4 linked regions of the Diceros bicornis minor genome follow. The protein of the gene in region 2 interacts with the protein of the main gene of each other region in a pairwise test. Links are inferred from orthologs where the notes say so. Each region holds a gene or a part of one and is shown on either strand. Other genes may lie near its edges.

The links.
Region 1: the proteins of CDR2 (region 2) and TCHP interact in binary tests that used the Homo sapiens proteins (3 or more experiments, as listed by UniProt). The two-hybrid records come from large-scale screens. The link is inferred for Diceros bicornis minor from reciprocal best matches to the Homo sapiens genes CDR2 and TCHP.
Region 3: the proteins of CDR2 (region 2) and C13H1orf216 interact in binary tests that used the Homo sapiens proteins (3 or more experiments, as listed by UniProt). The two-hybrid records come from large-scale screens. The link is inferred for Diceros bicornis minor from reciprocal best matches to the Homo sapiens genes CDR2 and C1orf216.
Region 4: the proteins of CDR2 (region 2) and C11H4orf46 interact in binary tests that used the Homo sapiens proteins (3 or more experiments, as listed by UniProt). The two-hybrid records come from large-scale screens. The link is inferred for Diceros bicornis minor from reciprocal best matches to the Homo sapiens genes CDR2 and C4orf46.

The regions. Positions count from the first base shown.
Region 1 is NC_080774.1:17,709,046-17,716,694, forward strand, and holds the start of TCHP (trichoplein keratin filament-binding protein), read right to left. Parts: upstream 3,017-7,649; 5' UTR 2,933-3,016; intron 1,721-2,932; coding exon 1,527-1,720; intron 1,007-1,526; coding exon 796-1,006; intron 180-795; coding exon 123-179; intron 1-122. UniProt on the Homo sapiens protein: Tumor suppressor which has the ability to inhibit cell growth and be pro-apoptotic during cell stress. Inhibits cell growth in bladder and prostate cancer cells by a down-regulation of HSPB1 by inhibiting its phosphorylation.
Region 2 is NC_080765.1:31,136,490-31,144,100, reverse strand, and holds the start of CDR2 (cerebellar degeneration-related protein 2), read left to right. Parts: upstream 1-4,597; 5' UTR 4,598-4,794; coding exon 4,795-4,873; intron 4,874-7,611.
Region 3 is NC_080752.1:50,002,443-50,010,089, forward strand, and holds the start of C13H1orf216 (UPF0500 protein C1orf216 homolog), read right to left. Parts: upstream 3,018-7,647; 5' UTR 2,871-3,017; intron 740-2,870; 5' UTR 735-739; coding exon 45-734; 3' UTR 1-44.
Region 4 is NC_080750.1:46,351,913-46,359,133, forward strand, and holds the start of C11H4orf46 (renal cancer differentiation gene 1 protein), read right to left. Parts: upstream 3,012-7,221; 5' UTR 2,925-3,011; coding exon 2,739-2,924; intron 971-2,738; coding exon 815-970; 3' UTR 1-814. Other genes in the region: ETFDH (electron transfer flavoprotein-ubiquinone oxidoreductase, mitochondrial), read left to right, coding at 3,584-3,617.

The sequences.
Region 1 (7,649 bases), on a different chromosome or scaffold from region 2:
CCGGTGGCTGAAGTGTTCCCTCCTCTGTTTGACCCCAGCACAAGATCCAAGTTTAAAACAAGCTGGCTAAAATTATTTCATCTACTTAGGCAAATCAACGGAGGGATCTCCTTGGTTTTCACCTCTCGAAGTCTGGGGTTGTTCTTTTTCCAGTGTTCGTACAAAAGCTGTTCGGCAAGCTGTCAAGAAAACACAGAGAGGGAAAGCTGACGTTGCTTTTCAAATCCACTCACATTTTGGAGAACCGGCAATGGAAGTCAGCTCAGGCTAAGAGCTGCTCCACTGGCACGCTGTCACTACACCTGCCTTCAGACCTCCTGCCTGCCTGGCACCCCTGGCTCCGGGAGCCAGACACTTGAGTGGACCTGGACAGCATGACAAATCACTCTTACAATGGTGACAAAAGGGGGCCAAAATCTGATGTTTCAGATGGGTCCTAGATGCTACAGACCTGCTTCCAAATATATAGCAGGCTTAAAACACAGCTTGGGGCTCACCATTCCACACAACTACTTTGGAAGATAAAATACACCAGTCCCAGGCCTTTGTGGGACCATAGAACTTGAATAAAGAAAAAGGACTCAGATGTAATGATTTAAGGGGCCAAAGAAAAGAGGGATGACTTATGCAAAACACACGTGAAGAACAACTTAGAGTAAGCACTTTTCCCAGCTGGCTCGGGAGTTATCGCCATCTCACCAGACCAGAGCACCCAGCGGTGACCCCACATGCACAACGCTGATGGGCTCGGGATGCCCCGGCTCCATAGCTTCCTAAAGGGCTGTGAGAAGTTACCAGTTTCCTTTGCTCTTCTCGGGCCGACTTCAGATTCCCGTGCCGCTCCCGGATTCTTCTTTCCCGCGAGTTCATGCTCAGCCTCAGCTCCTCCAGTTCCTTGGCCAGCAAGTCCTGCTCCTCCAGCAGAAGCTGCCTGAGTCTCTCCCGTCTGGCTTCCAGATGCTTCCTCTTCTCCTCCTTCATCTTCTCACGCTGATAAGCATGCATGCTGGGTGAGAAGGAGCCCACCGTAAATCAATCATGCCACAGCCACACGTGGAACGCTCTGCTCTGCTGTGTGGGTAAAAGAGGCTGAGGGAGACTTAACATGCTGACACGGGAAGGTGTCCTCCAGCCAAAGTGAAGAGAGCAGGTCACAGAACACTACGCATTGTAGAATCTTGTTTTATATTTGTATATATTTATATACACACACAAATGGGAAAAAGTATGAGAGGACATGAATCAGGCTGTTAACTGTGGTTCTCTCTGGGGATGTGGAGTTACAAGAAAACTTCCAGATTCTCCAGATTATTGCTTTATCTTTTGCAGTGCAAAAGTTTTACTTCACTGAGGGTCTTTTTTTTCAATTTACAGTTGGAAAAACCTCATGCAGGTAATCTACGCTGTTCCGCAAACCCCTCGAGAAAACATGCTGTCACGCCACACTCTCCTGGTCCTTAAGGCCACATCCCCTCCCCAGCAGATGGCCCCCCAGCATCATCCAATCACAGTCACTACACAGTTACCTCTGCTGGTAGGAGGTCTTGGAGCTCCATTCTGCCTGTTTGGAGCTGCAGAGGTCGGACATCCGGAAGTAGTGGCTGTTCTGATCCCACTGCTGCCGGAGCCGGGCCTCCTGCTCTCGCTGTCGCTGTCGTGCTGTCTGCTGATCCTGGAGCCTCCGGCTGCACCAGTATGAGGGCAGCGTGGGGAGGGCCATCTGAGAACAGCAATGGTAGGAAAATGAGTCGCTACAACCCCAGGAACCCTCACAAGCTTGGCCTCATCCCTTTCATAAGTGGTCCTCCCCGCCTGGCTGCACGCTGGAATCGCCCGGTGGAGGATGGCCCCATTCCAGACCAATTAAATCAAACAAGTCTTGGTGTAGGCCCCAGACATCAGCATTTTTTAAATGATCTGCCATCACGGTTGCGAATCATCGGTTTAAATAAGCCTAGATGGCACCCGGCTATGGGCAGACACCATCAAGGGCACTGGAGATGGAGACAGGGAACCACTCTTAGCAATGCTGGACCAAGCACAACAGGGCCTTGTATGCTCTGCTTAAAGTAACACGGATAGTAATTTAAGGAACATGTGTATGTGCCAAACTTTTGACATTCATGACCTTTTCATTGTTATAATCACCCCATTATTCGGCAGGTGAAGCAGCTTAAGTTCAAAGAGGTAAAGTGACTTGCCCAAGACCACAAAGCTGGGAAGCAGAGGAAATAAGAGAGCTGGGATCCTAATTCATGTCGGTCAGAGACCTGGGCCCGGGCTCTGTAGACTGCAAGAGGCTGCCAGTTGGGAGCACGATGCCCCGGCTTTGGCCAGAAGGGGCCTAGCCTAGGTGTCACACCTGGAAGTTTCCTGGGTTACATGGAGGGCAGATCCCTCATCCTACAGATGGAGAAACTGCTACCCAGAGAGAGGAGTGGATTTGCCAGGGTCACAGAGCAATCAGGGAACACAACTGGACTCTTGAATGCAGAGCAGTCTCACTCGGGACACCTTTTCCCCTGACCCAACAGCTGCCCGCATGTGCAGGGTTTACACAGTGCTTGACTGGGACAGTGCGTAAGGAACGTCTGCTGAATAAGCCCATAGGCCCGGGTCCACGCCAGGTCTCAGACTCCGAGGCCTCCAGAGCTGGGGGAAACCATCCGCGGCTGTGGGCCAAGTTTAGCCTGCGGCTGCCAGTTGATGCTCTGTCTCGAGACTGTGGCGGGCTTGACAGACTTTCTTCCTCGCCCTGTGAGCCGCCCGTGGATAAATCTTTGCACCAGGAGCCAAGAAACTTAAGATTCCGGTGCCGGATCGGCCACCCACAAGCTGAGCGGCTCCCTGAACCCCGGAAGCCAGCGCGGGGCCGCCTGCGGCCGGGCTCTGCGGGTCCCGGCTCCCGGCCGCGCCCCACCTTCCCACTCACGTTTCCGAAGAGTCCCCCGGCCCGAGCTCCCGCGCGCCTCAACCAAGCCCGGCCGGTCCCGCCGCGACACTCCGCGGCAGCGCAGCACCAACGCCGGCCGTTTCTCGTTGCCCGGGCAACGGACCGGTGACGGAGCGCCGCGAGGGTCAAGCCGCCTCCCGCGCAACGCCGGGCGCGCAGAGACAGGAGGCTGTGGTTTTTCTCTGGCGCCCCCTCGTGGTGGGCGGGAGATAATCGCAAACGTCGTTAGTCCTGGAAACAGAAGGATGATGGAAAAGAATCCACTTACTACACAAAATTCAGGATGGTGGTTACCTGGAGGAATGAAGGTGAGGGTGGGGGGAAATCAGGGGGGTACGATAGGAGAGGGGAATAACAATCAGTGGTTCTTAAGCCTGGCTGCACATGAGAATCATCTGGGGAGCTCTTAAAAATACAGATGCCTTAAAAAATAAAATCCAGATGCCCAGACCAAACTCCAGACAAATCCCATCAGGCTCTCTGCGGGTATCAGTGGCTATCTAAGCTCCCCAGGTGGGTTCAGTGTGCAACCAGCTGGGAGAACCACTGGTGTAAGTAGATATGAGTTATTGGTGACTTTCCATTGTCCTCTTAGATTGGTGGTGGGTTCAAGGGTGTTCATTCTGTTAGAATGTTTTATAACTCACGAGTGTTACAAATAATGTTTTATGTATCAACTATTTCATTAAAAAGATAATAAAGAAAAATATTCACTCTTTCATTCATTCTCCTGTTATTTTCTTCATGTCTTCTTCCTTTCATTCCTTTATCAGTTTCTGTTTTTCCTGGATACAGTATAGTATCCTGTTGAACATCGTGGTCTCTATTCCAACCTCCACCACGCAAGTTGTGTGGTCTTGGGCGGGTCACCTGATCACTCTGTGCCTCAGCATCATGTCTGTGAAATGAGAATGTTACAGTAATTGAACAAGGGGGCCATTGGACCAGGGTGGCTCTAACGGCTCTGTAGCCCAGCTACCAAACCGAAACCTAAGCCGGAGTCAATGTGCTCGAATCCAAGAAAATGGAACTTACCAATCACAGTCAAGTAGGCTTCCCCAAATAAGGCCACCACTACATCCAATCAACCCATTTCCTTCTGAGTCTTCTCTATAGAAACCTCTCCCCTGGTTCCTGTTGGTGGAGCGCTCCCAAACACCTTTGGTTTGACGCTCCCCAATTTGAATCCATGTATGCTCAAATAAACCCTTGAAAATTTTAATGTGCCTCTGTTTACCTTTTAACAAGAATACCAACAGTGCTGCTTTCTAGGGCTGCCTCCTGAGAGGAAATGAAGATTTAAATGATGAGTGCCCTGGAGCAGAGCACCTGGGGCATCTCCAGCGAGCATGCTTTCTTTCTCATCTCCCTTTTCTTGACATGTGTTTACTCGGAGTCTGCTCTGCCCCGGGCATGAGCTTCCCCACGGTTACCCTCCCATTGGTCCCTACCCCTTTGGCCAAGCTCACGGCCACTTTTCCATATTGTGTTCCCAGCGGGCAAGAGAGGCAGAGCCACCCACTGTGACCAGCCCAGCCAGAGCTGCCCCCCAATGCAAGAGCTCACTGTTGTTGGCAAGACTCCTTGAGTGGTAAGAACTTCAGAAATACGTGAATCGGGTCACTTTAGGTTCTGATTTTGTGCCTCTTGGGTGAGGCTCTTCCTCTCTCTGGGCCTCGGTTTCCTCATCTGTATAATGGCCTTAAAGGACCAAACAAACCCCACTAGTGGGACTCAAGGGCCTAGGGCTAGACTGGCCTGGTCCTGGAAGCCTGAGCCCCAGGCCATGGCCTCTGGGCTTCTTCTGCTGGACAGTCATCCTCACCAGCACCCACTATTCAACTTCTAATGAGCATCTTTACAAGTATCTTTTCCTTTGTTCCTCCCAGGAGCCCTGTTGTCCCCATTTTAGAGTTGCCTAAACTGAGCCCCAGAGAGGCGGCATCACTTGCCCAAGGAACCACAGCGTGTAGGTGGTAGAGCCAGGATTTGAACCCAGCTCTGTCTGACTCCAGGGCCTGTGCCCTCTCAGCAGCACCACGAGGGCAGGACTCATTACCTTCCCTGCTGTCGTTCCAGCGCCTGGCCCATAGGAGGCACTCAATCAATATTTGTTGAGAATGAATGAGTAGATTCCCCAGCTTGGAGTCCCTTCTCTTCCTTCTCCCAAAGAAAAAGGGAAAGATGGTGTTGAAAGAAAGACAAAAAGGAACTAACGTTGTTTGAATACCTACCAGGTGCCAGATGCTTTTAGGTGGATTCCCTTGCTTAAGCCTCCTTCCAACCTGTGAGGTTCCTGCCCCCATTTTGCAGATGAGAAAAGTGAGCCTCAGAGGTGAAGCAACTCTCCTGAGGTCACACAGCAAGGACTATGAGAGCCAGGACTTACACCCAACCTCCAGAGCTTGCGAATCTCTCTTCAGTCTGCTTTTCCAGGAGCTTGCAGCTTGCAGGTGTAGCTCTTAAAAGAAGCCAGCGGATGCGGACCAGCTGGGCCAGATCAAGAGTTCAGCAACATTAAATGTTCAGTGACAGGTTGATGAGGATGGCCCACAGGGGGCTGAAAGAGGAAGCCCTGGCAGGGGACTGTCGAGGTGGACGCTGCACACACTGGGTCCTGGGCCAGCGCACAGTTACTCAGGGCTGTTCTTGGACTTGTGTCTTTGGCTGTCCTACCACGGGAGTAGAAAACAGGAATGAGGAGATGGTGTGATAGCCCGAGAGCAGCTCCCCATTAGCTGGAATGTGACAGCGCTGGAGGCCGTGCAAGGCTGTCACTTAATTAGCAGGTGGGATTGCCAATGCACATTTATCTACACTGGGTTATCATGCATTTCAACATGAGCCATTCTGGCTTCTCTCTTCTGCCCTGCGCTGGGCTCCCCATCCTCCCTGAAGACAAAGGATGCAGAAGTAAACGGGGAGCTCCAAGACCCTGGGGCTATGGGGCTGCCTCTCAGAGCCTCAGTTTTGTGTTTTAATAATAATAACAACAGGAATAATAATGTGTAGGTATCCATGAGAAAAAAGTGTAAAAGGGCTTTCACCAAAAACAGTGGCTATCACTAGGGGGCAGGATGAGGGGTGATTTTAATTTTTATTTCTCTCTGGGTTTTTAATTTTACGATGGTCACTCTTACTTGTGTAACTTATTAAAAAGTAATGCGCTGGTTGGTTAATCATAACAACCTGCGTTTCCATCATGTTTTATACTTCCTGAGGTGCTTGCAGTGCACCAGTGGCTCTCAACTGTGGCTGCAGGTCTGAATCACCTGGAGAGATTTTTTAAAATCCTGATACTTGATCCGAGACAGAGGTTCTGATTTAATTGGCCAGGGATGGGGCCTGGGAGTCTTTTTTTTTTTTCTTTTTTTTGCTGAGGAAGATTTTCCCTGAGCTAACATCTGTGCCAATCTTCCTCTATTTTGCATGTGGGTCACCACCACAGCATGGCCACTGACAAGTGGTGTAGGTCCACGCCCAGGCACCAAACCTGGGCCACCAAAGCACAGCACACCAAACTTAACCACGAGGCCACGGGGCCAACCATAGGAGGCTATTTTTTTTACTGAACTTTTAATTTTAGAATAGTTTTAGATTTATAGAAAAATTGCAAAGGTAATTGCAAAGGTTATACTTCGCATCGACTTTCTCCAGATATTAACATTTTATATACGTTATATGCTTCTGTAGGACGAAGTCTGACATGGGTCTCATGGGGTTAAGTTCAAGGTGCCAGCAAGGCTGCATTCCTCTCTGGAGGCTCTAGAGGAAACAGGTTTCTTTGCCTTTTCCAGCTTGTAGAGACCACCACATTCCTTGGCTCGTGGCCCCTTTCTCCTTCTTCAAACCAGCAGCATAGCATCTCCCTCTCACCATTCTTCACTAGCCACATCTCCCTGGACCACAGCTGGGAAGGCTTCTCCACTTTTAAGGATTCATGTACCTACCTGGATAATTCAGGATAACCACCCCATCTCAAGGTTTTTAACCTTAATCTCATCTGCAAAGTCCCTTTTGCCATGTAGGGTAACATATTCACAGGTTCTGGGATTAGGAGGTCGAGGCCATTATTCCACCTACCATGGAGGGAAGGGGAGCACAACCTTCATCGTGGTTCACTTTTAGTTATTGTCATTCAATTTTATTTGTTTGTTTGTTTTCCCTGGATGCTACCACATCGATTATCCCCCCAAGCACTCCTGGCCTATGGCGCTTACCTCCTTCCTGCCAATGTGGAGGTCATCGCCGTGAAAGAAACCTGTGCAGGTAATCCTGCCCTCCTCTGGTGTGTGGGCAGACTCTCCCATTACGCCTCCATTGATGCCTCATCTGTAAATCAGGTGAGCTCATCAGACCTTATTCTAACAGGCCTGCTACTCTGTGTAGAGGAAGCTGGAAAATGGAATTCAGTTCCAGAACCTTCCATCCAGAACCCTCAGGTAGCTCAGCCTGCTTCCATCTGGAGTACATTTATCTGTTGGAATGGCTCTAACTTCTGTTGGTATTCATATTATTTTTCAAAGCCAGCCCGATGTGAAGGAAGGAGCCTCCAATTAGCCCCAAATTATTTCATATCTCTGAACTTCAGTTTTCTCATCTGTAAAATGGGGATAATAGTACCGGTTTGTTATTTTTTTTTTATTGCGGTAACATTGGTTTATAACATTGTATAAATTTCAGGTGTACATCATTA
Region 2 (7,611 bases):
CGGAGACTAGTTAATTTTAGTTAAATAAGAGTCTAAAACCACTAGCTGTGAATATGTAACCAGATTAACACTTTACTTTGTTACTCATACACTCAATATTTTTTGAAATGTTGCTGGGAACCCTAATTTGCATCGAGTATGACCCTACTTGAATACATTTTTAATATCTCTTTTAACTTACAAAAGTGCGATTTATCCAAGAGTTTGGACATGCTTAACTACGGGCCAGGGAGATGTGTTTATGGCATTGTTATCCTCCCTACTTGGAAGAGTGCAACAGAAAAGGAACAACAAGGTGATATCCTTTAGCTAAAGTCACAGAGAAGGAATGAAGTGAGCCCTTCATCTTAGCATAAAGTTGTCCACTCAGTAGTACAGGTTTGCACTGGATGATTTAGTCTTGATCCTCTCCTGACAGACTATGTAACTTTGGCCCCAAAAACATACCTAAGATAGATCTGGAAATAACACATTCTGGTCCTTGCTCTGATGTAGATGTCCCTCTTAAATCTGGCCTATTGTCTTACTCTTTCAGTGACTTGATTTCCCCAACTGAAAACAGGGAAAGGTTAACCAAGCAAGAGGTAGGTATAGATCATCTTCCTTTTAATCTTGACTATGGTTTTAACATAACACCATGATTTTCCTGTTTCATCCCTGCCTTACTGGAATATTTGTCCAGGTCTCCACAATTTTACTGAATCAGAAAACAGACAAATATTCAGATAACTGGAGAGATGTTACTTGCTTAAATAATTCTTGGGAATTAAGCAGGTACCTCAGTCTGTATTACCCAATTTCTTAGGGAAGGAGAGGGCAAGTTAGAAGTGGGGGAGGGAGCATTTGGCTCAAATGATCAAATTACCTAAGTCCCTGAGTTTCACTTTGCATCTAGTAGATACATGATTCTAATTCTATGGAAAGTAGGACCCTGGAATTATCAAAAGCAGTTATTAAACACATAGGCAGATCAAGCATTGTCTGTCGACGGAATAAAGAATATTTTGCCCATCCGTGTACTAGTATTCTCAAAATGTTTGTAGATTCTGCTTAATGATAAAATATAAATCTGAATTTTTTTTTTTTGTCACTACGCAGCACTCAAACACTTGAGGAATACAAGTACTATTACGTAGAGGCCAGCCAACATTTTTGGCTTTAAAGGTAATTCTCAGATTTGAACAAGCTGGGAATGACTGGTGAAGCCCTCATTCTAGGGAGTTCCTTTTGCCATAAGAAGCAAGATAGAGGCTAAAGGTCACTGGGATTCTAAGAGGGCCCAAAACAAGGGAGTCAGTAGAACCAAAAGCCAAGGTACAAATTTAGCCCACCAAAATCTACTCACTCTTCTTTTTCTTAGTTTTATTTCAGGCATGCTAAAACAAGAAGGATGCCATACCTTCTGAACTGATCTATCATTAAGTCAGAAGGCAGGTATTTATAAACTTAGAATTTTACAAAGAGTCATAAACTCGCTGAGCTGAGCTCAATTGTTTTTAACCCCTGGGAAAGGTTCACCATGAGCTAACATCTGTTGTCAATCTTCCTCTTTTTCTTTTTTTTCCTCCCCAAAGCCCCAGTACATAGTTGTATATTCTAGTTGTAAGTCCTTCTAGTTCTTCTGTGTGAGCCACTGCCACAGCATGGCTACTGACAGATGAGTGGTGTGGTTCCGCACCTGGGAACCCAACACAGGCTGCCAAAGCTGAGCCCACCCAGCTTTAACCACCAAGCCATTAGGGCTGGCTCTCACTGAGTCGAGCTCAAATTTCTAAAAAGAATTTGAGTTAAGCACCCAGCCTGTCTGAAACATGTGAATATAAGGTTTTAATAACATTATGAAAAACTCTATAGCCTGAACTTCTCTTTGTGTATGTATACTCAGAGGAGGAAGTAAAATCTTCCTTATTTCCATCTGCGAAGGGAACTATCAATATTTTGCTTTAGATTATTTTCATCATAGTAATACTTATTTCAATAAGTATCAAACTGAAAATCAACAACTACAATTTTTTCAAAGCCACCACCACTATCTAAAAACTCTCCTGGGGCTGGCCCGGTGGTTTAGCGATTAAGCTCGTGCACTCCACTACTGGTGGCCCAGGGTTCGGATCCCGGGCGCGCACCGACACACCACTTCTCCTGCCATGCTGAGGCCGCATCCCACATACAGCCACTAGGAGGATGTGCAACTATGACATACAACTATCTACTGGGGCTTTGGGGGAAAAAAAGGAGGAGGATTGGCAATAGATGTTAGCTCAGAGCTGGTCTTCCTCAGCAAAAAAAAAGAGGAGGATTAGCACAGATGTTAGCTCAGGGCTGATCTTCCTCACAAAAAATAAATAAATAAATAAATAAATAAATAAATAAATAAATAAAACTCTCCTTACCTGATTTTACTATGGCAACAAAACACAAAAGATCGAGAACATTATATCTTTACAAGCAGGGGCAAAGGACTTCTGAAACTGGTTCTTCTTTATCACAAAATGTTTTATACAGAAGAGTTTGAAACTAGCAAAATGGTGTCGTGGTTAGGCTGGGCAGGTTCACTAAACACCAGTGAATTATTAAATGAAAAACAGGAAACCCTCCTTTTAGAATCAACTTGGGTTGTTATTCATTAACCTACTACTAAACCAAATAATACCAATGTTGCTGAAGAAGCTGTTTATGATTGCTTCTAAGGTATGACTAAGACTCTCAAAGAATGATCAAGACCTCTCCAAAGCAGGGCTTCTAGCACTGAAAGCTAACATGTCTTTTTCAACGCAATTTTTGTTCAAGATTTTTCCAGGGAAAAAAAAAGCTTCCCCAAATAGTGTCCTTAAAAAGAACCCACTAACAACAATAGGCTTAAAGCCTGTTTTGTTTTGTTTTTTGACATTTTAAACTATCAATAACTTTAATTCTCCAGATCTTTCTCTCTCTCTCTTTTTTTTTTTTTTTTTGAGAATGTTAACGTTTCAATACACTTTCCCATCTGATTTGGAATCAAAATGAGCTATTTAACATCCTTATAACTATGGCATCAGAAAAGAGTACATATTTTTATATATATAATTAAATGAGCTATTTGCCATGGAGAAAAAAGCCAGCACTTTCAATCTTGCGGATCAGCAACTATGGAAGATGAAGTCTCTTAAAGGTCAGATGCATGATTCTAACCCTTCATCTTCCACAAATCGACATCAACAAATCCTAAATCCCATCATTTCTCCTTCCAAACAGCTCTATCTGTAGTGACTTATTTTTAAATTAAGACAGTTGGTTTTAAGTTGTTTTTTCTTTTGGCTCTGGACTAATATCTCTACCTGAATATTGACAACTAGGGCAGTAGAGGCTTTATAGGGGACCTAGCTTTCTTCTTTTTTAACCTAGCAATAAAATGTAGATCAGTAACATTTTGTCTTTTAGTATACCTGGATTCGGAAGAAAGGGATTCTTGAGTTTACCATTCCTCTTTCATTATGATTATTACTTTCTAACACCTTTATTCCTTCTACATTTCTTGGCTGGCATTCTACTATAAAAGAGAGCACTGCTGTCTTCTATTAGCTGTACCTTTACCTTTACATCAAGGTTGAGAACACTGACGTTGTGGTTTGTCACTATTTAAGAGTTTCCCGGCTTTGTCTGCATGATGATGGTAAAAGCTGCAACCCACGAACAGTGGTTACCGTCATGTCTGTGGGGAGAAGCGTTCACTGCTCTGCCGGCCATCAAGGGCTAGCGCTGCGTTCATTCTCTTCTCTACAGGTGCAACGTCACGACCTACATGCTTAACTTGTAGTCTACGAGTCTTTTAGATATCGCACGCAAAAATGCTCGCAATTTTTCTTCTAAGGAGATAGGTTCAACTGCATCCCTTCCCGCCCCCAGATTCTCAAGTACGTCTGGGGCCAGCCGTTTTACAGCGAACGAGTACAATTTCCCAGAGAATTGGAGGTGAGGGCTCAGATGTCAAGGAGCAAACTGCTAACAGCCCTGAACTCCCACCGACTGTTCATCTCCCCGCATCAACGACATCAAATCTGGGAGTCAGAAGACCCGAAGGGGCAGGCGGGGCAGCGGACATCGGGCTCCCGGCACCCTTCGCGCCTCCTGGCTGCACGAAGGACACCTCACGACAACGTCCCACTGCTCCGAGGCCGGACTCCAGCCCCTCAGGCCCACGCAACCTGTCTACTGGCTGGGCGGCCCCACACCCACACCCACTACAGGCGTTGCAGAAGCCGCCACCTCCACAACCCAGCGACACCAACGCACTCCCAGAAGCGTCCCAACGCAGGAGAGGGCGGGGGCTTCGGCCGCACCCCTTCGCCTTTTCCCCGCCTTCTTTGTTTCTTCCAGATCCGCCATTGGCTGCTTGTCCCCGAGGCCGGGCGAACCCGCGGGCCTGCATTGACACGCGATTGGGCGACGTCGCTGCCCCTCGACCAGCAGCCCGCTCTCGATTGGTCGAGGCGCCGCCGGGGGTTTGAATCGCAGCCCCGGCCGGGGAGGGTCCTGCCGAAGTGCCACGTTGGGCCCGGCTGCGGCGTGAGGAGCCGGCTCGGGGCGCTAGCCGCGGCGCTCGCGCCATTGGGGCGGGTGGGTGGCGCGAGGCGAGTCGGGAAGCCGGTCCGCGGCGTGCGGCTCTGGTCGGGCGGCGCGGGGGAGCTCGGGCGGCGGCGCGTCCCACCCGAGGGCGCTCTGGCTGAGGAGGGAGGGACAGGCGGAGCGCCCGGGACAGCGGCTGAGGCGGGACGGCGGCGGCGGGGGCCGCTGCCCCCGGAAGAGCCGGCCGAGATGCTGGCGGAAAACCTGGTGGAGGAGTTTGAGATGAAGGAGGACGAGCCGTGGTACGACCACCAGGACCTCCAGCAAGGTGAGGGCGCAGTCGCCCCGCAGACGACGGGCGGGCGGGCGGCCTGGCTGGGGAGGCTCCTCCTGGGCGCGAAACTGGTAAAAAGTTGCGTTTGCTCGAGGCCGAGAGGTGCCAGGTGCCGGGAGAGTCTGGCGCTCACCTGGCGTTGGGACCGGCCGCGCCCGCCCATCCCGCGGGAGAGAAGCCTCTGCGCGGGGCCGGGGCCCGGGCTTGTGCTCGGTGATCCCCATCATCGCTGCTGCGCGCGGATCGCTGGCTGCGCCAGGCACTGTCTGGAGCGCCTTCCCCGGCTTCGCTGATCTAACCCTTACTGCCTTCCTCGGAGGCAGAGCTGCGGGACCCTGACCAGGCTCGGCCCGCGGCCTCTCTGCCGCTGGGAGTCGTCCCACCCCGCGCCGGGTGGGAGCGGCTGCAGGTGGCGGGGGAAGCTGTCCCGTGTGGCACGTGCCCAACCCTTTGCACACACGCAGTCCGCACAACAGCTCTGTTGGTGAGAGAGTAACTTTTAGTATCCCCATTTTCCAGATGAGGAAAGCGGAGGCTAAAACGGCTAAGTGACTTCCCTCGAGTTAAGTGTGGGAGCGAGTATTTTTGAACCCACACACTCAGAATGAGGAGTGCCCAAATCCTGTGTCTTTTTTACCATCCGGTTTACAGCTTCTTCAGTTGGATGTTAGACTCTTAAAAAAAAAAATTGCTTAGGCTTAGTTTAGATGCCAAATAAAATGACTTGAGGACACTTCTACCTCTACCACCTCCTTCAGTTTGCACTCCAGCTTTTTTATTTAAACACAAGCATTTGGATCTTGGCCTGCCTTGGATTTCTTGATGATGCTGTGTCTCCAGAGAAAAACGTTAGAGCAGCCCTCTTTTTTTTTTTTTTTTTTTTCATATTAATAGCAGGAACTTGCAGTTGGGGAACGCTTTTTATGTGCCAAACACTGACAGGCCTTTACAACAGGTGCTCACTTAATGCTCCCAACAACTAGGGAGGTGGAAGTAGATACTGTTATCGGGGAACTAGGATTCCACTTCAGACTCCAGCGCCAACTTTCTGAACCACTATACTGAACACTGAATAATCCTCAGGAATTTCTCCAGGCATCTTCTGTTTCTGCAATTCTGTGTAAATCAATTTTTTCAGCTCCAAACTTGCTCTGAAACTTAACATTTCATTTAGTTGAGTAGTAAATGACCATGATGTTTGTTCAGGCTAACCATTGAACTTAGGGGGAAGGGGTGCGGAAAAAGAATGTAGGCTTGAATGACTCATGTTCAGAAAAGGAAGATAAACACCTCTTTTGGGAGAAGATGATTTCTAAATCCATATGCTATGGACAGTCACTGAAACCAAAGTTGTTCACCCTTACGCTTATATAGTCGAAGTTATTTCGCGGCCGCAGTGCAGTATTTGCCATCATGTTCTCTGCGAGACAGATTTGTCTTACATTTAATAAACCTGTTTTCAGAATTCCCCATAAGGATTGATGGCCTAGTTTGATACTTTCTCCAGGGTTAATGGAGCAGCCACTGTGCAGTTGCAGCATTTGCCTGTAATAAATTAAGCAGTTTGTATAATCAAAGCTAAATGTTTTTCTTTCCTGCATTTGAGAGGCGTGGGTCCATACAGGCTCATTGTTTTGAATCTAGCAAAATACTTAACACATCGTAGAAGCTCAGTTTTAATATCTGTTGAACTGAGGCACTCACACAGGCTTACTGTTTTCGTGGCTCTCTTCCATCGGATACCTTCGTCCACGCTGCACTTTCCCCCGTGGGAGGTTGTTAGAAACAACCATTTGTAATATTTCAGTCTACTTAGAAGCAAATGCAACGTGGTGGGGTTACGTGCGGAACTCTTTAACCTCTGATGAAAATGAAGTCATCAGGTGTTCAAGCTTATTGAAGCCATAAAGAGCACACGTCCAAACCTCCTTAATGTTAATTTGCTTTTGGAATTTGTTCCCTGCTTTTCAAAAGACTTTTACGTCCATTATCACAATGGACTTTGACATAACCTGTATGTCATAACCAAGTGTATGGGGTAAGAAGAGATGTGAAATTCCAACAATCATAACTTGTGAATATAGCCTGTAGAAGAATGAAGGCTGCAGTGTGAATAAAAGGATATCTTTGTCCGAATTTTGTTAAACTATATGTTAAAGAACTCCTAAACTTCTAATGGATTTAAAATTTTGTTAATTTCTCAAAAATTTATTATCTACTCTATGCCAGGTATTCTTGTAGGCACTGGGGCCACAGTGCCTATCCACGAGATAGGATAGGTAGGGTCCTACTCATGGAGTTGACGGTCTAGGAAGCTGTTGGCTAGAGAAGCCTGGAGATGCTGCCTCCTGGTATGTGCCCACTACAGTGCCTGGCACATGGTAGGCCCTCAGTAGGTATTTCCTGCTGAATAAAGTTTAGGAGCAGGTCTGCCCTGTTAAACAGATTGATAAGCAAATCTAGCTGGATTTTATCAAGTGCAGGCATCTGTTCATTTTTTAACATCCTCACTGTTAATTTACTGAGCGAGCCCTATTTGGAGAGAGGTGCTAGAACAACTTTTTAAGATCTTGTTCTCAAAGTCATAGCACTACAAAATTTTTTCCTTTTGCAATAGAAGCGTTATTTAAGTAGATTGAGTCTTTGTATCAAAGCTTGCTGGGGCATTCGTTTTAAATTAAAATTGCTGAAAAATTCTAACCTCGGGCCAGCCCAGTGCATACTGGTTAAGT
Region 3 (7,647 bases), on a different chromosome or scaffold from region 2:
GCAAATATATACATATATCCTTGCACCCCTCTGGAGGTACACCCTTAGCGCTGGTCCTGGGGCCTGGATGGTGCTGCCCTCTGGTGGAGACAGCGGATAAGCTCCTTTCGGTTGTCTAGGATGGTGTCAAAGCTCTCCTGCAGACGGGTCTGCTGGTCAACCAACTGATGCTGCAGGCCCCGGATCCACTGGAGCAGGGCCAGGCGACGGTACATCACCAAGTGCACATGGTGCTTCTCCTTCTCCAGCTCTTTATAGCGCTCTTGAGCCTGCAGCTGCTGCACGGCCTGGGCCACCGAAGGCAGAAGGGGATCTGAAGGGCCAGGGCCTCGAGGGGTCCCACAAGCAGGCTCAGGGCTGCTGCTAGGGCTGTCGATGCTCAGGGAGCTGCTGGCATAGCCGTTGTCCTCCAAAGGGGAGCAGACTGTGCTGGTATCACCCATCTTCTCAGGCTCAGCTCTGGGGATCTCTGCCCCCTCTGGTGGGCTGCGGACCTCCCCCTCAGAAAGTCCAGAGGCCTGGAAGGCCTGATTGTCAGAGGGCAACTCAGAGGAGCTCTTCATCAGGATGGACTCCCCTTGGCCTGCCATCCCATGCCAATTCTCATTGGCATCCTTGGCACTCGCCATGAAGTTGGAGTTGCTGTCTGGTTGGAGCTCTGGCTGACATACTCCAGGAGGTGGGCCCCCCAGGAACTGGCCCCCCTCAGCTGGCCCTGGCTGGATGGCAAACATTTTGTCTGTACAGGGGAAGCAGAAGAATGAGTCAGAGCAGGACAGGGTAGGGGACCTGAAGTCATGGCAACTTAGCTGCAGGGACCAGGCAGCAAGCAAGAGCCTGGCTGCTCCTTCTCAGTTCCTCTCCCTCAACTCTGGTAACACCTCCCTTCGTGGTTTTCATCCTCCCTCTCTGACTGCTGATTCTCAGTCTCCTGCATCAGGTTTTCCCTCAGCCCTCTGAAGCAGGCTTTCTTCTCATCCTATGCACTTCTCCCCAGCTGATCCCATCCTCTGCTGCAGCTTCAAGAACCATCACGTGCTGGTGGCTCTCAGATCTGTCTGCGGCCCAGACCCAACTGCTATCCAATTCTGAAACCAACCATAGGTTCCTCAAATTCGACATGTCCAAACCAGCTCTCCCTCTTCAGTGTCCTCAGCAAAATGGCCCCACTCTCCATTCAGTCACTCCAGTCAGAGACCTGGGAGCATCCTGGACTCCTCACTCTGCTTCCTTCCCCCATCTCATTGGCCACCAAATTCTGACGATTCTTCCTCTTAAATACCTCTGTGTGTGTATGTACACACGTCTACTCACTTTCACTTGGTTCAGGCCATTTCTTACCTGGAGTACTGACTGCCACAGCCTTTTCACTGATCTCTCTGCCTCCGGTTAAAAATGTAAATTTGTTTTCTCATGGCTCCAAGTGCCCTCCCTAAACTCCGGATAAACCTCTCCACAACCTCCAAGGCTGTGCCTCCTCTAGCCCCCACTCACCCCTCCAGACTTACCTCTTGCCACTCTGCCCCTCCCACCACACAAAACTGCTCAGAGATCTCAAAACACACGGTTATTCTCTGCACACAATTCCCTTGGCCTCAATACCCTTCCTTTCCCCTCCCCTCTAAGCTCCTCCTTTCTCCACCCAGCAAATTCCTTTTTGTACCTCAAAACTCAGCTCTAACACCCCCACCTCCCTGAAGCCATCCTGATATTCTCCCCACTGTCCCAATACACACAAACAGTGAACTGTGCCTTCCTCAGGGTCCCCACTGCCCCGGGTATGCACTGTCTTATCCACGTTTGTTTCTCGTCCTTGGCACATAGTTGACCATCGGTAAATGTCCATTCAACTGTTGTTCTTTTTTAACTGTCTTATAATAACTGCTTATAAATCTAGCTCACTGACTAGACATGGAACTCCTCTAAATATCCTCCATCATGTTTCCCGGAGCCAGCACAGAGCCTGGCACTAAGCAGGCGTCAGTACATATTTGCTGAGTGACTGAATGGGGGACAGGGACTGCAGTGGGATATCCATGCTCAGGAAAAGAGAGCCAACAGCAGCAGGAGGCTATTGCTGGCTGCCCAGGGCTGGAAGAGCTGGGTTCAGTTCCCTCCCCCCGCCATGACAAGCTTCTCTTTTGACCTTGCCCCCTTCCCTCCACGTCTGCTATCTGTGTCCCTGACCTCAGCTAGCTTCATCCTGACGCCCTGGAGGGAAGGCATACCCCCTATTCTTTCCTCCCCAATAACCAGCTTCTACCAAAATCAGGGCTTGAATCGACAAGAGGTTTCTACTGACCACATCTTACTAGGATTAGAAAAACTGGGGATCTGTGAGAGTAAGGGATAGTGTAAGTGGAGGTGGCAGGGGCCTCCCCACATCAGTAGTGGGCAGAAGTCCTGGGGGAATGGTGTGGGGACAGTCCCTGTGTAACCTACGCACTCCCATCCCGCTAAGCAAGGTGCCTGGAGATATTCCCTGCCCAAATGTTTTCTTTTTCCTAAACTTGGGCGGGGCCACGAAGGAAGCTGGGATGCGGTGGCGGTGGTACTAAGGATCACGGGGTTCTCAGAGATGTAAAGTGGGAACCCAGACACCCCAGGCTCAGGCTTCTCTCCAAGCTAATCCGCAGTTTGCCGGGGTAGGGGGAAAGGTGGCTCTGTAAGGATGGCGGAGGCAGCCTCCCTTCCCGCCTCGCCTCGCGGGAGAGGGAGACTACCCCCCCCCCCCAAGGAGACAGAGGATAGAGACCATCCTTCCCTAATCTTCCCCAGGGAGGCAGCTGGGCAGAGGCTGCGACTCCCCGCGCCCCCCGCCCCCCACCAGCGGCTGGACCCCAAGCCCTCCCGCTCCGGCCCCGACTCACGGCCTGGAGGCGCCCGCCCTGCGCCGCTGGCTCTGGTTCCGCGGGCCCCGCGGCGGGCACTCGTCCCTCGCGTCTGGGGGTCCCTCGGCCTGGGCGCACGCGCGGGCCCGGGCGCGGGGTGCGGGGTTCCGGGGCGGCGCGCCCAGCCCCAGGCCGGGACTGCGGAGTCGGGCGGCGTCGGCGCGGCGGGGCGGGGCGGCGGGGCCCACGTGGGCCGGTTCGGTTTTCCGCGGAGCCGCGCGCCTGGGCCGCAGCGCCGGAACCGCCTACTCCACCTTCCGCAGCCTTGACCGAGGCCTTCCAGGTCCGGTTTTATCTCCTAATTGCATTCCCTGCGCCCCTCGCGTCGGTTTGCCTCACCGCAGATACAGTGGCATTTTCAGAATGAAAATCTGATCATGTTACCACGCTCCTGCTTAAAGCCCTTCAATGGCTTCCCCACTGCAGGGTAAATCCTCAAGGCAGCAGCCACAGGGCTCTGAGCATCCAGCCCTGTCTACGTCTCCAGCTTCATCCTTTTGCCCTCCATCTCTGCAACTGGGCCTCAGGCTCCTTTCTGCCATGAGGCTTTTGCACACACTGTTCCTTCTGCCTAAAATTCTCTTCCCCTTCTCGACTTACTCCTGTCTCAGATCGCTTCTCAGATAAACCTTCCCTGACCTCCTAGGCCAGATTAGATCCCCCTTTTATATTATCCCAGGGCACTTCGTACCTTTTCTTCATAGTATCTATCACAATTTGAAATTATATATTCATTTTGTGCTTATTTCATTAAAGTCACTTAATGAAAGCTATGTTTTAAGAGAAGAAAGAAAATTCCCCCTGGGACAGAGCTGGAGCTAATGTCCTGCACCCAGGCCCGGGTGGCTTCCTCCTGGCTGGGCAGAGAACCCCTCCATGCTGCCAGTGCAGTGAGCTCTTCTGTGAGCTGTGCAGTTTCTACTTACTGAAGCCTGATCCCCCTCACTCCCTTCCTTCTTGGGGGAAATGTGTAGGGGTTGGGAACTCAGTTTGCAATCAAAAAGAACAGAGTAATTGCTAACGTTAATGATAAAAGCAAAAAGTACTGCCTGGGGTTAGGGAAGTTAAAGCTTCTTAGATTAACTTCTTGCCTAGAGGCAGCCCCAGGAAGAAGACTGGGACAAATTTAGCCTTCAGGACACATAAGATTCCAAGAAGTCCCTTCCATACCCCCCACTTTATTGAGCAAACCAAGCGATTGGCTACACCTTCCTCGTGGCCTCCTCCCATTAAAAACAAAACGAAATTGGGCCAGGCCGGGTGGCGTAGTGGTTAAGTTCGATAGCTCCGCTTCAGCGGCCTGGCATTCGCAGGTTCAGATCACCCGTGCAGACATATGCACCTCTTATCAAGCCATGCTGTGGCAGGCATCCCACATATAAAGTAGAGGAAGATGGGCACAGATGTTAGCTCAGGGCCAATCTTCCTCACCAAAAAGAAAAGAAAAGAAAAGAAGTAACTCAAACTCTGGCCACTCCCCCAGCTAAGAATACACAGGCAGAGACTTCAACCCCATTTCTTCACCAGGTCCTGAGGCTTAACTAGTCTTCCCTTATCCACTACAAGTCCCCTCTTGCCTTTAGCCATAGTTTTCTCTCTTATGAGGTGACCCAAATCCTCACTCCTGAAGGCTCTGGGATTTGGTGGTCTAGAGTTATGCAGGTCTTCCCATGTCTTACAGCCATAATGGCATCTAGTTGTTTGGTGGGCCCAGAACAGCTCCTCCTGCCTCTCCTTCTGGATCTGTCTCTCCCAGCTCTAAAGGAGAGCCTGATGAGTCCAGGGATAGGGACTCCACTCCAGGTGAGTCAGAGTCCTTCTCTGGGACTTTCTGAAACAAAATTGAAGGAAGACAAATCAGGGAAGATGTGAGCCTAGGGCTGTAGCAATCACGTTCCCTGCCAAGTGGAAATCAGTTTGTAGTAGAAGAAAATGATGCTGACACAAGACGCAGAGACAAAAGACAGAAGTCCTGGTGATGTTCCAGTCTATTTCCTGAGGCCTTTGTACAGCTTCCAATAAGGCCCTTATTCTGCCAAGCCTAACAAGTGGAATTTCTTTCACCAGCATTCAAAAGAATCCTGATTAATACAAGAGCACACGGTGGTGACGCAGGGGTCCCCTGGGTCCCACTCATGCACCTCTCAGTCCTCATTGAGTAGTAGCCACTCTATTTCCCCTTGATATAGCGATTATCAGTTCAGCCTACACTGTGACCTCCTTTCTTCTATTCCTGCAGTAGTATGAGGAGCCTGAAATGCAATGGAATCATCTTTGTGTTCCCTGGTTAGAAACATTCCTCCCTAGATGCTAAAACCTCCTGACCTGCAGAACCTAGAATGTCAGAGACAGGAAGCGAAGTCTTTGAGAAAGTCATTAGCCCACAATCCCATGATGGGCTACACCCACCTCTACCTCTCCATATATATTCTGGCTACAAAAAACAGTCATATGTTGATTGTTGATTTAAAGCCTATATCGTATCCTGCAGGGCAGCACACAACCTGGCATAGCTGAGTCATCAACTGGTCATTCCATTGTTCTATAAAGTTAGTTGTTTCTAAATAACATAATACCTGATAAGTAAAGTGAATTCCAAGGGCATTGGACTGTGGCCTCTCTCTCTTCTTCTTCTTCTTTTTTTTTTTTGTGAGGAAGATTAGCCCTGAGCTAACATCCGACGCCAATCCTCCTCTTTTTGCTGAGGATGATTGGCCCTGGACTAACATCCGTGCCCATCTTCCTCTACTTTATATGGGAGACCGCCACAGCATGGCTTGACAAGCAGTGCATCGGTCCTCGTCTGGGATCCTAAACCTGCGAACCCTGGGCTGCCGAAGCAGAGTGCACGAACTTAACCGCTAGCCACCGGGCTAGCCCCTAGTCTCTTTTCTTAGTCAAGGGTAATGTGTGGGATTCTCTAGCACTGTATAATTAATGCAGTAAGTGCTCAGACAGTGGTCCCGGCCACTCCATAATTTTCAGAGAACTAGGAGCATAGAGAACAAAAACCCTAGGAAGGCAGAGGCATCCACGTCTGCATGACCATGGAAAAGCAGATGTATAGATGTCTGTTGTTCATTCACCAGAAGCTTCCTCAGTCAGGATGCCAGGGAATCAGTCACCCCAGGTGAAGGGGTGTCTGTGGCTGTGTCCACTCAGCTACATAGATTGCAGGAACTTAATTGGCAGGGACACAGAAATCACCAGAGATGGCTAGTATCAGCCCAAACAGGGGCTCTGCAGCAGGCCAGCCCGTCATGAAGATCCAGCAGCGGGCAGTGAGGAGATGTCTTGGCAAGCAGACAGATGTCCAAGAGAGGCTAGCAGTGTGTAGCCAGATCCAGGCCCTAGAGGCCTGGGGTGTCAAGCAAGGAGACAAGGGAAGATGAGAGGAATTTCTACTCCAGGAAATAGGACAGGTATAAGAGTTCCTTTATAGGTGGGTAATTTCTCAATGTCAGTACTCCCAGGAAGAAAGGGATGGTAGATCAAGGCGTTTCCATCTCAAGGACCTTGCGCCTGCCCATCCGTTCATTCAAATTCAGCACACAGTAACAGAGTGCTTACTCTGTGCCAGGTACTGTGCTGGGGATACAGAGCAGAATCAGAACTGGTGGTGACCCTGGGGAGCTCCCTGTTTAGAAAGGGAAATAGACAAGCATGGGCTATACAATGTGATGGGCCCTGCAACAGGGCTAGAAGGCAAAAGTATTGAGCACAAATGAGGGTAAGGAAAGGCCTCACAGAGGTGATATTTGAGCCAGGCTTTGAAGGATGAATAGAAGCTCACCAAGAGAAAGCAAGAGAAGGCAGAGTAGACCATATGCGGTGTGTGTGTTCAGAGTGTGTTCAGACAACACAGAGGAGGCCAGTGTGGCTGGAGCTGGGAGGTCAGTGGAGGTAGGAGATGAGGCTGGAGGATAAAGTTGGCCCAGTTTATGAAAGGCCTTGACCCCCATTCCAAGGAGCTTGGGCATCATCCTGTGGGCAGCTGGGAAATAACTGAGGGAGCCGCCAAAGGTTCCAAAGCACAGGCATCAGTTCTGGAGTACAAGCTACATTACGTCCTGCTTTCTTCTCTTTCCCTGAGCTCATGTCATCTATCAACTTCCCCACATTGCTTTGGGAACTTAGGCAAATCAAATCATCTTAACTTTTTTAGGTTAAATAAAAATAATATGACTTAACATTGGTAAATAACATTATAACTGTGAACATTGTTCCTTGGGCTCCCAAGACCAGGCACGGCCCTGGAGGAACTTTGATGGACCAGAGAGCCCTTAAGGCAGATTAGAAGGAAAATCATTCCTCAGAATTAGCTCATCTCAGGAAAGGAAGGCCCAGGAAGCTGGCGACCTAGTTGTTTTGTTCATCCACTTCTCCACTGCCTCTTAAAGGTAAAGTGCCGCTCTAGTCTATCAAGAAATTGCTGTGTGATCCCCTTAGGTAAGCCACGTCCATTCCCCACCCCCAGTATGGCTGTTTTCTCAGCTGTAAAATGAGGGGGAGGTGCATCAAATCTGAAATTTTAAAGGTTTTTTTTTTTAAGCTTTGGTATAATTTTTTTTGAACAAAATCTTTGTAACACATCCAGTTTGAGATCTTCTCTCCTCCCCTGGACCCTTCACCCTAAACGGCTTGTGAGGGGGCTCCCAGGAAGGTTTAAAGCTCAGTGGGACACAGTTTCAAATCCATTGCACCACGTGAACCTGGGAGACGAATTCCCCCCTCCACAGCCCACCCTCCCTCCTGA
Region 4 (7,221 bases), on a different chromosome or scaffold from region 2:
AATCAAATATATAACAACATCGAATGCAAGAAATACTATCTGTAAAAGCAGTTAACCATATGCATTCTTTCCAGACAGGCTTTCATTATCTGAAGTAAAAGCTTTTCTAAAAAGCATCATAGAAGGGCAAAAAATATTTATTATATTTTAAAAAGCTATCATCGAAGTTCAAATCCCCGTAAAAAAAAAGAGAACGTTTCCCTTCAAGTCAATGAGGTTCTAATTCAAATATTTTTTACAGAAACAATTATAATCTTCATAGTAAAGACAGGAAGAAAAAAATAGCCTTTAATTATGTTGTTAACTCTTTTATTCAACAAATACTTGGTGATTGCTGTGTGACACTGTTCTAGGTGGTGGGGATAGAAAAAGAAAGAAGACACAATCGTTGGTTCTAGGGAACTTAGCCTAGTGGAGCTGGATCTAACATTGGTAACCTAGAAGTTACCTCCCTTGGTCCATAAAACGAAGCTCAACTTCAAACTCTGCCATTCTTGGCATCTTCTGGCAAAGCAAATAGAATAATGGTCCACCTAGTTTGCTACTGCTAACACTGTGGCCTTATTAATATTATCTACTGATGAAATTAACTTTCATAAAGGATTCTATTAAAAGTTTAGAGGACAGAAAGTATTTAAAGATAAACAAATACTGGCCAGCATCAAAAATAACATCAGTATTCTGCTTTCCCAAAAGTGAAGAAAACCAAGAAAAATTTCATTCTGAGTATACAGAACTGCTGGAGCTTGTCCTATACATATGGTACATGTGCAAATATCATAAATGAGGAAGCGTGAATTATGACACAGCCAAATCAGTTGTCAGGCTTCAAAGAATCATAGCCTTCTTTCAAAAGGTCCCTCCATGTTTTGAGGAAACGTGCATTTTCTGTACATTTGAAGGCAAGTTCTTCCACTTGAGCTGATACTGCAGATGTGGCTTCAAGAAGTTTGGTTAATGAAAATGCTGCCTGAAATTTCAAAAAAAAAAGTCAAACAATAGAAGTTTATTTTTTAAATTGTCATCTCATTTTATAAACAGTCTACAAATAGTTTAAAACTGAATCCAATGCCCAAGTTGTTTTCTTTGAAAGTAAAAAAAATCTTCAAACTAAAACAGCGGCTCTGTCTGGGAACCTAAGAAATTCTTTAATATGAAGTAAGCTTCTGGGAACCTAAGAAATTCTTTAATATGAAGTAAGCTTTAAAGAACAATGCATTATGTATGAGACATGACAAGTCAGTATTTTTTTTTTAATTGAAAATACACTGGAGTCTCATTTAGCTCAACAAGACGACTTGGACCCCTTGACACTAAGTCCCAGAAGTACTAAAGGACTTCTTCATAAACAATCCTTACTGATATTTGGGTAACAAAGGCATTATTCCACTACTTTTACCAGTAAACACTTTAGGCCATGAAAATGTATAAACCAAAGAACAGATACTCTGAGCTGACCAATAACCATCAACAAAATCAAAACACATGCAGAAAATATCCAACTCGTGATGGAAAATCCACTTCTTACTTAAATGTTCTCTTCACCTAAGACCCTGTTCCTAGACATCAGCACTCCATTCTACACATTCACTTGAAACCAGTCTTGTCGGCAAAAATTGAAGCTCTATCAGCACTTTAGTCATCTTTTAAAAAAACAAATACTTGGGGCCGTCCCCGTGGCATAGCCGTGAAGTGCGCGCGCTCCGCTGCTGGCGGCCAGGGTTTGGATCCCAGGTGCGCACCGAGCAACACTTCTCCGGCCATGCTGAGGCCGCGTCCCATATAAGTGGAGGAAGATGGGCACAAATGTTAGCCCAGGGCCAGTCTTCCTCGGCAAAAAAAAAAAAAAAAGAGGAAGATTGGCATCGGATGTTAGCTCAGGGCTGATCTTCCTCACAAAAATAAAAAAAAAAAAAACAAATACTTGTTGAGCAATGAGATAATCGAGTTCATTCCCCAGTTTCCAATCCGCACAGGAGAGTGTATTCCACAAAGTTCTCCCAGGAAGATTACACCCTACATATCTCATTCACTTGACCCACTCAAGAGTCCTTAAATAATCAAATTGTGACCCTCTCCGGTGGTGTGTGTGTCCGCGCGCGCTCGCGCTAGTTTCTGGGAATTGGAGATTCAGAAGAAACCATCCATTGCTATGCATTCTAGCAATCATAGGGAGGGGTCTTTGACTAAACCGTTAGTGAAACCAATCTGGACTACAGAGGCCGTGACTAACTCCTCCAAACTGGGTCCAACGCAAAGCGAGCCTGAGACAGACAATAGCATTGTCAGCTGGCTCTGGGCAGGTGGCCAACTAGAACAGTCCCGCGGAGAGAAATCACAGGCTGATCTAAGCACCAACAGACAGCCAGGGGGGAGGATGAGAGGGCAGGCAGAGCCAGCACGAGGCAGCACAGCAGAGCTGCGTGGTTTCGGGTTACAGCACAAGATTGAAACCAGAAGGCGAGGCCAAAAGCAAACAGGGATGGGGCGGGCGAAGGCATAACCCGTTAACTCCTCAACACTAAATCTAAAGACAGAATCGTCGGGGGGAGGGGCCTTTGGTCGCCGGCTTCCCCCACCCCACCTCCCAGCCCACCGCCCTTACAGGGCAGACGGTCGAGACGCGCCAGGCCGGGCGCATGGACTCCCGGTCCCTCCTTCCCTGGCCCCCCCGCGGTGTGTCTTCCGACAATCGCCGAGTGGGGACCCGGCTCCGGGACCGGTGGGGCGACACTCACGTCTCCGATCTGCAGCTCCACCTCCTCCAGCGGGTCCACCGTTCGGCTGCTGCTCCTGCTCGGAACCGGCCAGCCCAAACTCACTGGGACGCCGGGGGAAGATGCTGAAGAGGCGTCTGAAGACGAAGGAGAGAAGGGAGGCGGCGGGGACGGCGAAGAAACCTGCACCTCCTCGGGGTCTGCCATGGAGAAGGGCTGGGCCCGCGGAACCGGACCTTAGCAGCCGAACCGATACCAGCTATCTTTCAACTGCTCGCGCCCAAAGCCCAGAAGCCCCGCCTCCTCGTGGGCGTCTGCTCAGGACCGCGAAGACTTCATTTTTTCCGGACAGCCAATCATATGTAAGTCAATTCACCTTGTGCAGCTCACTGCTCCTGCGCACAGCTCCTGCCAGGCTCAGAGGGCACTTGAGCAAAAGACTACAACTCCCAGGATGCCGTACGCGTCGGTCCACCTCCCACTACCATTTGCTGCGCGCGCGTTGCACTATGGGATTTGTGGGTCCTCCCGCACTGCAGCGGGCTTACCACGCCTGAGTGAGAAAAGCAGCACAGACTCAATCCGCAACGTGCAGCCGCGGGCAGCGCTGGGACTTGCAGTCCGTTTCCTTTTCCTCCTTTTGGGCACATGACCCGCAAGCCCCTGCTGGCCGTCGCGTCATGCGTGGCGCCGACGCAGAGCGAGAAAGAGGCTGGAACGCTGTGAAGCCAGAGCGGTCGGCTGAGCAGGGAGACAAACTTCAGTGGTGGTGATGGCGCCCCTCGCGGCTTAGAGGTCCAGCGCACTCGGCGAGCTGCAGACAGTCCATCCTTTGTGTCCGACGGAGAGTCCTGGTTACACTGAACATGTTGGTGCCGCTAGCCAAGCTGTCCTGCCCGGGTGAGAGGGAACTCCGAGCGGGGATAAGCGGAGGGAGGTCGAGGAGTTAGGGCGAAATGGACGGGGCCACATCTGAGGGCTGTAGGCATCTCTTCCCTATTCTCCTTTCGTCGACGTTCTCAGGCTAAACTAGAACAAAGGTCACGCTGTCTGCGCCTGGTGGTGGACCCCAGATTCTTCCCCCGGGGGCTGTCCCAATTGGAAGAATTGACAACTAGGCTAAAGGTCGTGGGCGGAGGAAACTGGTCAACACGGCCCGCGCTGGACTCTTGAACTTAATCTTCCCAAATGTTGGTCCTAACCCTTATCCCAAAGCTCAGGTGTTATCTGTTGCCTTGTCGAAAATGGGTAAAATAATATTTGCGAAGTTTTTCTCCTTGGTCCTGACCTGACTTGCGTCTTTGCAGCCATCCTAGTATGTTCTTAAGAATTTGAAGTCTGATCTGTCACATCATGATTAACATTCCCATACTGCCCATGTCACCAGGTTATATCTGCAGCCAGGGATTTTTCTACATTGTCTAAAATTAACTCTAGGGGCTTATCGTGTTATGGGTGCTCCTAGAACCCTCGTGATGACTCGTGAGAATACCTCATTAACTCCCCCTTTCACTTAAAAAAAAAAAAGGTTGAATGATGCAGTTGGATAGTGGTTTGTTTTGTTTTTCTAAAAAAAAAGCTTAAAAATTCAAAAAAGTTTACTACAGGATCTTTATTTCTCTCACAATTGGCTTTTTTATGTTTAGTTTAAGTTAATTTGTGTGTGTGTATGTGAGGAAGATCAGCCCTGAGCTAACATCCATGCTAATCCTCCTCTTTTTGCTGAGGAAGACTGGCTCTGAGCTAACATCTATTGCCAATCCTCCTCCTTTTTTTTTTTTCCCCAAAGCCCAAGTAGATAGTTGTATGTCATAGTTGCACATCCTTCTAGTTGCTGTATGTGGGACGCAGCCTCAGCATGGCTGGAGAAGCGGTGCTGCGGTGCGCGCCCGGGATCTGAACCCAGGCTGCCAGTAGCGCAGCCCACGCACTTAACCTCTAAGCCACAGGGCCGGCCCTAAGTTAATTTTTGGTTATAGAATAAAAGCATACATATTGCAAATTCAAGGATGTTCTTAATATGTAAATTTCATGATAGTAGAATTTTGTCAAATTTGGCCACCATATATTAAATAATTAGAATTTTGTGTAAAGTTCCTGTTACTCATGGGTGTATTGCTACACCTAAGGTATAGATATGCTTTATGTTTTTGGAATATCAAAGTAGTCAGATGCTATCTGCCCTACTGTCTAATTTAGTTCAAATCATTCTAATTTAGTTCCAAGTGCTAACCAAATTCCACAAAATCGCCATTTCCATTTTCCTTGGATGCTTGTCGTTGCTATTTTCATACCCTAGAGTTAGCACTACTGGCAAGAAAGAGATGGACACAAATGCACCATCAATGTGACTTTAATGTGGTGATGTTGTGAGTTCAATGGACTTTCTGACCTCAATTCTCTACCAAAATTTAGCCAAGGTGCCTAAGTGTTCAAATCTCTAGAGTGAAATATCAGATTTGTTTTCAGAAAAGGGGTAAAGGTCGTGACTTGTTTTTTTTTCACCCGCTGGAGAAAATCAGACTGCCCAGTTCCAAATATTCTCAAGAAAATCACTAGCTGTATAAGCAGTAGAATTACAGTTTTGTCTGATACCAAATCATCAGTTTTCAGAAGCAAATGATAACTTGTATACATCAAACTGCAATGCATCATAAAACAAATATTTTTAATATCATTTAATAATAATATAAATAAATATTTAATATTCTTTTGAAGATGATAATACTATATTTCAATTCTGGAACTGAGTTCTATAATATCTTTATTTATGTATCTTACATACATTTTTTTCAAGGTTTAGGAAGGTGAAGAGTTATCTAAGGTTTAAAAAATTATTCCCAATACTATAGTTGTTAATATGCATTTGCAAGTAGGGAAAATTTGTTTCCTTGCTGCTTTTTTCTAAATTATTTTATTGAGGTCATAATGGTTTATAATACTGTGTAATTTCGGGTGTACATTATTATATATCGGTTTCTGTATAGACTACATCGTGCTAACCACCAATAGTCTAGTTTTTATCCGCCCCCATACATATGTGCCCCTTCACCCCTTTCTCCCACCTCCCCACCTCCTTCCCCTCTGGTAACCACTAATCTGTTCTCCTTATCCATGTGTTTGTTTATCTTCCACATATGGGTGAAATCATACAGTATTTGTCTTTCTCTGTCTGGCTTATTTCGCTTAACATCATACCCTCAAGGTCCATCCCTGTTGTTGCAAATGGGAAGATTTTGTCTTTTTTTATGGCTGAGCAGTATTCCATTATATATATATACCACATCTTCTTTATCCATTCATCAGTTGGTGGGCACTTGGGTTGTTTCCACATCTTGGCTATTGTGAATAATGCTGCAATGAATATAGGCGTGCATAGATCTCTTTGTATTGTTGATTTCATGTTCTTTGGATAAATACCCAGTAGTGGGATAGCTGGATTGTATGGTATTTCTGTTTCTAATTTTTGGGGAAATCTCCATACTGTTTTCCATAGTGGCTGCACCAGTTTGCTTTCCCACCAGCAGTTTTGCCACTTTTTTTGAATAATTATCAAACAGATTTTTAGTGTTTAAATGGCTTTAGAGTTCTGCCACTCCAAATCTCTTCCCTTCTTGCATTCATCATAATCTTTAATTATTGATTGTCTGATGTCAGGTTTTTATTTTTTTTAAAAATCATTTTATTGGAAGGAGTAAAACATAAAAATATAATAATTATGCAATTGAGTGCTAAAGAATAAAAATAATTAGCCTATGCTAGGCTGTCATCTCTCCATTTAACCAGAAAAGAAAGGAAGAGAGAGAGAGAGAAAAAACAACTTGTTTTCACCATGGCTCAGGTTCTGTTACTTCATAGATCATTTCAAATCCAACTGTAGTCTCAGAACTTGACTGATGTTGGAAGGATTGAAACTGAGCTTGGCTGAGATCATTATCTACTGTAAATGGGGTTGTAGCTGCCCTACATATCTCACAAGGTATGAAGGATAAGACGTGGTTTTAAAATTGAAAATTCTTAACTGTTCAGTATGTCCATGAAAATGTAAATTTTATTATATATTCCAAATCCATGCTAAAGTCTTTGTTGACCTTTACTATTTATTTGTTATAGTCCAAATTTAGAAGCTTGTTCATTTGCAAGAGATGCTTCATTATAAGAGACAAGTTAAAAACTAGGAAAGACCATCATTATTATTATTGCTCTATAACCCAGGAATTAGTTTTAGGAAATTAAACCAAAGATTTGTGCACATTCCTAGATGACAGTTGAAATTGTAACTGGGAAGGTACCTATCCAGTTAACAAATATGTATTAGTGACGTGCCTTATGTTAAGATATATACTAGATCCTACACCGTAGTATTACCAAGGCAAAGATTAACCATGAACTTTAGAGCTGATGGGGTGGGAAGAGTTAAATAACTTGCTGAAGGTTTCCTTGCTAGTTAATGAATTCAAACACAAAGTAACAAAGTAGACAGACTCCAAAGCCTGTGTACTTA